Drosophila melanogaster: one gene and its partner. The gene in region 2 interacts genetically with the main gene of each other region. Each region holds a gene or a part of one and is shown on either strand. Other genes may lie near its edges.

What was found. Genes that interact genetically often act in the same process or in processes that back each other up.
Region 1: of aop (region 2) and Raf, changing one suppresses a phenotype caused by changing the other (phenotypic suppression), as found in Drosophila melanogaster (3 studies listed by BioGRID).

The regions. Positions count from the first base shown.
Region 1 is NC_004354.4:2,293,581-2,298,488, reverse strand, and holds the start of Raf (Raf oncogene), read right to left. Parts: upstream 3,024-4,908; 5' UTR 2,531-3,023; intron 2,336-2,530; 5' UTR 2,136-2,335; intron 1-2,135.
Region 2 is NT_033779.5:2,175,744-2,180,653, forward strand, and holds the start of aop (anterior open), read right to left. Parts: upstream 3,012-4,910; 5' UTR 2,104-3,011; intron 1-2,103. UniProt on the Drosophila melanogaster protein: Ets-related protein that functions as a negative regulator of photoreceptor development acting antagonistically to pnt and the proneural signal mediated by RAS. It acts upstream of SINA to inhibit R7 development.

The DNA.
Region 1 (4,908 bases), on a different chromosome or scaffold from region 2:
ATGAGTGAGTCACAGTGATTGACACAAATTTCTAAACAGTTGTGTATGGTGTTTCTATAAGTTATCATTTATGTATTTAATTTATGTATCATCCAACGGATACCAAAAAGAGCGCATTATCGCAAAATCGGCTGATGAGTCAAAGAAAACACGAGGTCTTCACGATTAGGGTTCAATATCCCATATTCCAATGGCCCTTTCGGGTATTTCCACATTTCGGTACATACCCTTATCTTTTCTCCTCTTCGTTCACCGTTTCGACGATTGAAAGGCGAGCAATTGGATATTGAAAGTGGTATTGGAATTAGCTGTAGTACTGCGCTTTCAATGGGGATCATCCCACTCAATTAACGGTGCTTTTCATGGGCTTAGTGAGGACTTAAAACAGAGGGGCATCTTAACATTTATCAACAAATTAGCTAGTTTTTTCCTCATTCTTGATGATATTATAAACCAACTAAAGAATTCGAGTGCTACATATGTATTAACAAATATCCCTCTGCCTAGCTACGCCCGAGCACTACACCACACCCCCCCCCCCCACAAACGCTGTAATTACCGTTAACCAAGCCTAGCATTGTCTTTGGCCCTCTGTAACGTAACTGTAACTGTAACTAGCGCGCTTTCTTTGCTCTGCCGACGCTGACGCCTCAGCCACTGTCCGTTTTTGGGCTACTGGCAGCAGGTACAGTGAACACCGAACGACGATTCATGGTCGTTTTAGTGCCCACAAATAAGAGAGTTGGTGCCATTTTTACTTGTGAATAGTGCAGAATTGGTGCGGGAAAAATGAGAGAAGAAAACCAACAAAAATCTTAATGAATTACGAAACACTAGTCACTTAGCGAGTGTCTGCTGTACACTTTGTGCTTCATGAATGAAGTGGAGTGCGGGGAGATTGGCGACTAGACAAAGAGTATGCCGCTGGCCCACCCTCTGCCCCCGACGAGTCGGAAGTGACGATGAGAGCGGCGAGAAAAGAAAACAAACTGTTGGCGGCTGGTTTCTCAGCGAGAGAGTTTGCCTGAGCGAGCGAGGGAGCCTGGCTGCCGGGGATGAGGATGTTTGGCGGTGAAGGGGAGGCAAGGCCGCAATTAATTACAAACTCACCCAGCTGTCCCCACACGTTGCCCCCGTCTACCAGCTTCTGCCACTTCCTCTTCCCCCCCCCCCCCCCCCGCTGCTTCTCGCAAGTCTGCATCCGAAAAGTGGCACGTATCAATGTTGAAAGCATAAACACACAAAGAGACCAACGAGGCGCTCTCTCGCCAACGCCAAAGCGAAGAGCAGGAGGAGGAGCAGAAGAAGCGGCGAGAAATGCAAATGCCTACAAAAAACAACAGTTCTATCCAAAGTTAAATAGTTCACTTCGATGTAATGCATTCCCGTCTACTTTTCCAACATTAAACGAAGTCATCGAAAATAATTGTGATATCACACCCTTTATATGTACGTTCTACGCACATTTGATCCTTTCATTATCCTTTTTTCTTGTTGCTCGCCTGACCAAATTACAAATGACCACACAAACATGTGTTCGAGTGCAGGAACAGCCACCTTGCATAAATGGCAACTGCCCATACGTAATACGTAATCCGTACTACGTACTGCGTATGTACATATGTATGTACACACATGCAATGTTCATCCTTCCTCCTTTTGGTTGCGGATGATACCCACTGAAAGTAGAGTTGAAACGACTAAAAGTCTAACAATGCCCACTGCCCCAAGCACTGTCGTTTCTTGAATGCAGCCAAATCAACAAACATCACGGGAAGAGCGTGTGTGTGTGTTTGCGAGTGTTTGCGGGCCGACAAACATGCGCAGGCTGAAATCTGCTGACGACGCTGAGGCGGCATTTATCACTCCCAAAAAGCGTTGGGCTCCGCAGGGGGGTGAGGGAAGGGTACGCGCATTGGGAGTCATTGATTTTCGTTTATGAGTCGGGCAGGCGACGCTCTCACTTTTTATACGTTCATTCACACGCGGCACAGTGGGCCAGAACAAGAACAAATGGACAACAAAGCATTTCGGATGACAAGAATTCGAAGCTAAGACATGCGTACAATTAAACTTTAGAAAGATCTAAAAAAAAACCCTTGATATTGACTTAGGGTGGTTTCAGCCCAACTTACCTGTGGATTAACACGTTTGCCAGGTAAATACTGCGATTTGTAAGATTTTGACTTTAAGACGTTGGATAATCCCCGACAATCCGTTGATATGCGTTACTCCATGAAGGGCTTGAACGCCAAGCATTTGTTGGCTTTATGGTTAAAACACAATAATGCAACAATGGGTCATCAACTGCCAATTTATCCCACTGTGCTCTCCGCTGAAGTGAAGTGGCCGATGCAAAGGCAAAGAGAACGTTCCCATCGCACAGAGAGAGGGAGAGAGAGAGCAATCAAGAGTTGAGAGAGCGACTAAAAAAGGTGTAGGAGTCCGTGGAGGGGGGAAGGAGGGACAGAGGATAATAGAAGGGGAGGAGAATGGGGAATTTAAATATGTTATTGATAATTGAAATTACCGCGCGCCCCCGCTGCTCATTCAAATGCAATTTTGTTGCAAAGTTTCGATTTCGTTGTCACTCCCATCCTCCGCTTTTTGTTATTCCTACCTGCACATTGAAACGAAGCGAAATAAAAGCGCGTGCTAAGGACTTAATGGCAGTGCACTAAAAACATCTTCAAATTCAAACGGAATAAAATTGAAGCGAGGCGCTGATTTCGCTGCCGCTGTCGACGCAGGTAGCGGTGTGTGTGTGTGTGTATGTGTGTCCGTTTCGGTTTTTATTTACTTTGTTCTGCTTGTTTTTTCCAGTCTCTCGTTTTTCCTTTTTGTTTTTTGGCTTCTTTTGTTATCGGGCAGCAAATTGAAAGCAATAAATACTTAATTGTTAGCTTGTTGGTTATGTTGTTTTTGTTGTTGCTGCTGCCGCTTAATTACGTAATTCCGAACTTATCTGGGCGACTTTAAGAAAATGCAAAAGAGCGCCAAGCGTGTGGCAATGGGAATGGAAGAGGGATGGAATTGGAATGAGACGCGAAAGAAATCAAAACGGCCCATTTAAGCAACACAAGAGACACAGAAATTATGAATAGAGGTGGGGAAAAAATGTAAAACCATTGAAAATTTGTCAATATCGAAAGTGGGTCTAAGTCAAATGGCAGGAGTACGTGTGATTACAATTTTTTAAGATAATCAAAAACGTATGTACGTACATATGACTTATGTACATACATATGCTCATATATGTACATATGACTTATGTACATATGTACATATGCTCATATATGTACATATGTATGTGTGTGTGGGCATTATAAAAGATGAACTACTGAGATCGAGATCGAGTTGATGGCACTATACCAAGAAACGCGCGCAGGCAAATGTTTCTGGCTTATTTGTCCTCTTGTGACACAATTAGCTGATAAAGTTCCTGATGTTTTTCCCCGCAGCGTCTGGCATGTGAATCATCATCGTCATGGGAGCTTTTGTTTCTGGGAATTTCAATTTTGAATAAACAAAATCAAAACGAGAACTTTACTTCTTGCGGCTAAACACTTTGCACAAACACGTGCAAACTCTATGTTTGCATTTGCGTGTGTGTGTGTGTGTGTGTGTGTATGTCGTCATCGACCGTCAGCGGCGCCTTAATAATAGTACACAAAAATGATAAACAAAGATCCCCCCACTCACAGCACTCGACCCCTCCAGCCATTCACAACGCACGCTCATGAACTCTTCCCTTTCTCTCGCACTCGCACTTGCACTCGCTCTCTCTTTGTTTGAGTGCAAATTTGCATTGTCTCTTTGTGCTCGCACACAAACATATGTATGTATGTACATGCACGCAGACATAAGTGCGCACATAATCACACACGCTGACTAGTGCCAAACTGACCTCACAATTGTTGTTGTTACGATTATTTGTGCCCACTTTCTTGCTTTTGTTGTTGTCGTTGTTGTTGTTGTTATTTTTCGGATCATGCTAAAACTGTAAATGATGAGATGAACTTGTTGAAGAGGATGAATCGAGCTGGAAACGGGGAAGGGGGTTGATTCGAGCTCGCATTTCAAAACCTCAAAATACATAGTTTATAGACCTTCTACAGAGTCATAAGCACACATACATACATACATCCATGTATGCATACATCTTTGAGACAACACTTAAAAAACTATTCTACTTGGATTCTGATTCGCAAAACAGACTATAGGAGCCACTCTACAAGCATGAACATATGTATACATGCGCATATGTGTGTATTTAATTTTGTTAAACCCGTTAAGCCGAGCCGATAAGTTCAAGGGGTTACCCCCACGCCTAATTTGGCAATTTCAATGGATTCGAATGATTCCATGTCAGCGCCGTGTGGATTTCTCAATTAGCAGTTGCCGCAAGTGTAGGTGATTGCCTTAGCAAGTACTTTGCATAGCCAAATCCAGCCAAAGTCACTATTTTTACATAATAAAGGGGCAGGAGCAACAACTATGCGGATTATGCTCATCACCGAAGCGCCCAACCACTCAAACACCCACGACAACACAAATACACCACCCACTGACCAGCGATTTGCTTCCGTTACAAATGAGTAAAAATCTTTGCGACAAATATACATACACATGTACAGTGCAGGTGGAGAGAATAGCACTGAAAATGTAATTACAGTTTTAAGATATGTGGGAATATTGGAAAAATTATGTTAGCAATTTGCAAGTTGGAACTAAGATTATTGTGTCTGTAAAGATTGTTAATGCAATATGTCAATTAACTTAGTTCATACAGAGCACCTATATAAAGTAAATCAAATCATTTAGCTTGAGACGATTGGCCTAAAAACTTTTATTTAAGCGCCTAGGTGTTATTATTTGTTTGCCTCAGCTGTGTGTATGCATGTACAA
Region 2 (4,910 bases):
TTCCCCATTACGTTGTTTCTTTTTGTTGGGAGCAATGCGGAAGTGAATTTAATTTATTGTATTTACGCTGCTTTTGCCGCTTTTCTGCCGCCGGCTGGTCACCAGGCCAAGTCTCTAGGGGAACCAGGAAAGGAAAACAGCCAAGCGAAATCGCAGCTTCTACAAATTTTATTTCGTTTCCCGCTAATTGAAGAGAGAAACTGTTTATTTTTGAGAAACAAATCTTAATACATCCGTGCGCACAATCATAAGCAGGTAAGTAGGGACAGATTAATTTAAAGACATTGCGTTATAAAATTATTTACCAGCCTAGGGGATTGTTTACGTTTTATTTATAATAGGTCTTTGTGTTTACCGATAAGATATTAAAGCTAATAGAACATTCAATTTTTTTTTTAAATTTTAAAAGTGACTTTAATTTTAAAAGTGAAGTGAAATTTTCACCACCAGTAAATCATTCTTTTCCTTGGGAGCTATTTAGTTGACCCAAACAGTGCATGTGTTTGTTTTATACATAATGAAATTTATTGGCGAGAATTCTGCTCTCGTCAAAAAAATAAAATAACGGAGGTGGCGCACGATCAGGTGTGTGTCTAGTTCGCTCCCCCCACCGCCACCCCCTGAAATCACATACATACATATATACCTTATAGCTGCGGCAGAAGCAGGAACTGTTTGGCTGATTTGTTCGACGTCGTCGGTCGGCAAAAGCAAATAAATAAACACAATTCCGCTGGCTGTTTTACTTTTTTTAAATGTACATACTACATATATGTATATGCACATAAGTATGTACATACGCTTTTATGACAGTGTGGGCATTTCTTTTCGCCATAGCGCCCCTGCGATAAGATTTCGCTGACGCTTGCCAGAGTCGCCGGAGTCACCCTAATTGGAGCTCAACGCTCCGCTTTTGTTTCACTTCACTTCCATAGAAAAGTGCATGCAACAAGAGACTCGTGAACCGAACAGAAAGAACGATTCCGAAAGCCCGGTTCTATAGCATATAGCATATAGCGCAAAGCACACCGATATGCACTCCGATAATTACCGTTTTCATCATTTTTGTGGCGGAAAACTCGGACCTGGCCAATATGATGCAACGGGCATTACGAAAAGCACCCAGGTACCGTAATGTGGAGTGGAATGTGAAAATAGAAGAGGCTATTTTCCAAGTGAATCGATCTTGTTCGTATTGTAGAATGCTAGGGAATCGGTGAAGCGTACCGTGCATACAATGAGAGTCAAGACACTGGGCTTGGGAAGAGAAATTACTATCATATCATATTGTTACTAGACTGAGCTATGAGTATTTGCATATGGTTCTCAACCAACCACAGGTAATAATTAATCACAATCCAACTAGACTGTAAGAAATATCTAATCATATTTGGAAACAAGAAGAACATACAACAAATTATGCGCAACAATCAGATAACAAAACAATAATTAAACTATAAAACCACTCCCAAGATCCCCATAAAATTGTAACTCTTATTATTTAAACAAGCCCCAAATGAAAACGCCACAATCAGATCCTCTGAACAGGCAAATAAATCAACTAAACCTTAGATAAACCGTTGTTGCCGAGTCTTCATCCATCTCATATGAGTGTACTGCGAACCAAATATAGCCCAAGTTATCTGTTTACACGTGTAGATCCGACAAATTGTTGACCTCAACCAGAGACCAAAACTCAGACATTGTAAGACGTCGGGTGGAGCGAAGTGGGGAAGTCATATGCAGCAGATAACCAAAGCCAGATTAAGGTGGAGCAATTATTTATCAGCTGCTCAGACAAGACACTTTTCTGTTTCCATGACCATTGTGACGTAGTTATGGGAAATACATGTACCAAAAGATGGTGTTTTAACCAATTCGTAAAAAAAAGCAACGACGGCAATGGAGTGATACAGGGGTAATGTCTGTAAACACCGATTCTTGCACGATTACGAATATAAAAGAACTCCAGATATAAAAACCATTGTGCTTACATATTGAGAAAAAATGTTTTTATTTTTGACACTCTTTTCTGCTACTATTTTGACAATGGTTAATTTAACAGTTCACAACAAAAAGTATACAAATTATCAAAATTCTCACCTGTTTGCTCCACTGTGCACTGTGGTTACGTACTGTAAGGTGAGTGAGTGAATTTGTCTGTTTGCGTTGGGCTTCGGATTCGATTCTTGAGCTTTTTAGCGACAGAAGCAACGCGGAAGCGGATATGTCCAGATCCCAGAATGCTTTAGCTTTTGCTTCGCTTTCTTGTTTTATTTTTGTTTTTGGTTTTGTTTCTGTTAATTCGATGTTGTTCTTGTTGTTATCTGCTGATGACGAAGAGGGCGTCGCGCCAAGTTGCCATTGTTGTTTGTGTTGCTGTTTCCTTTTGGTGAGGGGCGCCGCGTGGGCGGTGGTTGTGTGCTTTTGGGGCTAATCCAGGCTCTCTGTTTTTGTTTTTGTTTTCGCTTCGTTCTGCGACAAATGCCAGCCGTAAAGCGGAGCAAATGAATAAGAAGAAGGCGAAGTCAAGCGTTTTTACTTCCGCCGCCGCCTCAGCAGCACGCACACACAGGCAGACGCGGGCACACAAACGCACACGCACACTGTAAGACACTCACGCGATGCACTTGCACTCTGGCGTTTTGTTCGTGTATTTGTTGTTGTACTTTGGCATTTCCTCTTTCGTCTTCCTTTTCACTTTTGCTTGCACTTCTTGTTGCGTTGCTTTGCTCTCGCTGATGTTGCTGTTGTTGTTGGCGTTGTTGCTGTCGCTCTTGTTTATTTTTTATTTCCGTTTCGCGCACACACACACCGGGCAATGTAAACACACACCGAGTTAAGAAGAACCGTTTATTTCCTCAACGCCGCGCACGAATTAAATTCTATTAATTGTGAATTAATCAATTTAAAACATATTAGTTTGCCATTTACAGCAGAATGTCTAGTTGCTTTCAGGAGCGACTCTTCTACACGTCCGCCCAGCACGGCAGTTTCTTTTTGACTGCCGATTCGATTCGAACAGGCGGCGAACATGAACAAGTCGGCGCATGCGGAGAGAGAATCGAAAGAGAAAGAGAAGCAAAGAGAGCGACATACAGCAAAAACAATTCAAAAAGAACTGGTGAAGAATACGAAAATAAGATAATTTTTTAAGGAAGTCGCGCTTTGATCCGTATCCGTTTTAGCGTCCAAGATTTATATCTTAAATCGGACCTATATTTTGAGGTACAGTGAAGCTTTGATGCGCCAGTCTTATATGAGTTAAAGTTTTAACGATTGAAAGACACCCCTGAGCTGCTCATTATATTTCAATATTTATAAACAATCTTATATCAGAGCTTGAGAGACTTGCATGCGCCACAAAATTCCAATTCCAATTCCGGAATAATTTCACAATAATCTCAATTAACATACGTATTTTATGTTCGTAATTTTTTAAAATTCCCAGATTCCCCACAATTGCCATAATAATCTCGATTATGTTATTATACTCTGAGAAGTAGGAGTGTGTGCAAAGACCACAAACAAATCATTAGGCGCGTAAACATTTACAGATCCACCATCCACTTCCTTGGCAACGAAAGAAGCAACAGCTCGCAGAGGTAATAATTTAAATAATTTAAAACCCACCAAAGTTTACTACGAAACAACTCAATAGGCAACCGCTGTCTGTGGGCGGCGTCGAATTCGCGTGGGGCGCTCGATTTAGTTGTTAATCAATAGAAGATAAAGTTTAAACAAACGATTCATGCTGATACCAGAAGCATGGGCGCCGAAATACCAAGGGATCGTTCTCTCACTAGATAACATACACACCTATTGTGACTGGAAACTTGAAATGATCGAGCATGCCATACCCATTAGCTGTCAATTGTGACTATTGGCGAGCTTTTTGCACATAAACCATAGATAAGACAATTCCGTGAACTCTAATCAGTGTGCGATAATGCTCTCAAGCATTTGAAATAATTATGAATACGACCCCCTGGCCGAAAATGAAATAAGCGCCACGCGCCTGGGAAAAGCGCTCTATTGTAATACAAAATGTTTGGAGGTGCTAGCTGATAGGTGTTTTCGATCCCATAAATCTTGGATCTTCATGGAAACCAGTTGGCAATCTTTAATTATAAATTGTTGGAACATTTCCGCTCGGCTGCGACGGAAAATCTCTTTGGAAAGGGGGCGGGGCTGGGGTTCCTCGTCAGGTTGCTTGGACGGTCGGTTGGTCGGTCGGTCGGTGGGCCTGAAGATGCGCTCAGTTGCACTGCATCCGCTTTGGGGTCTCCAGTCGCCTCAGTTGGCTAACCAGTTTCTCCCCGAGCAACGAGCAACGTTTACGTTGACATTTCAAGTCAAATGCCCATAAACGGCGACCAGCCGGACGACCCCGCCCACGCCCTGCACGCCCCTGCTCAGTTCCGTGGGTATGCACTGAAAGAAAATCTAGATTAATGGGCATTTAGGTAAGTAATAAATAGTAACATGTATTTTTATGGCTATAAATAGTTTAGCGAGTAAGCCTCGTGATATGAAACATTAAAGAACTTTTAGATTGTGACTCTAATTAAGAAATATAATAGAGATATTTTTTTCAAGTGCTATCTTTTCCGTCGATAGCTGCGATGGCGATGACGACGTTTCCAAGTGATCGCCGCAGCGACGATCACTGGCCCAAATTAGTAGCTTCGGTCATGGTGCGTCGCCCATCGGGAAATTCCAGGGTGAAAGGGTGGCTGGCGGAGGAGGAGGACGGGGCGGAAGGGGCAGAGCTGCCGATGAGGATCGCACAGGGGTCAGAGTTCAAATAGTCGTCCAATTGAGCCAATCAGCGTTTGTACATCTGTATTTCGCCATTGCAATGCAACCAGTACGCCTCTGCTGCGCCACCTCCCACTCCATTCAGATCC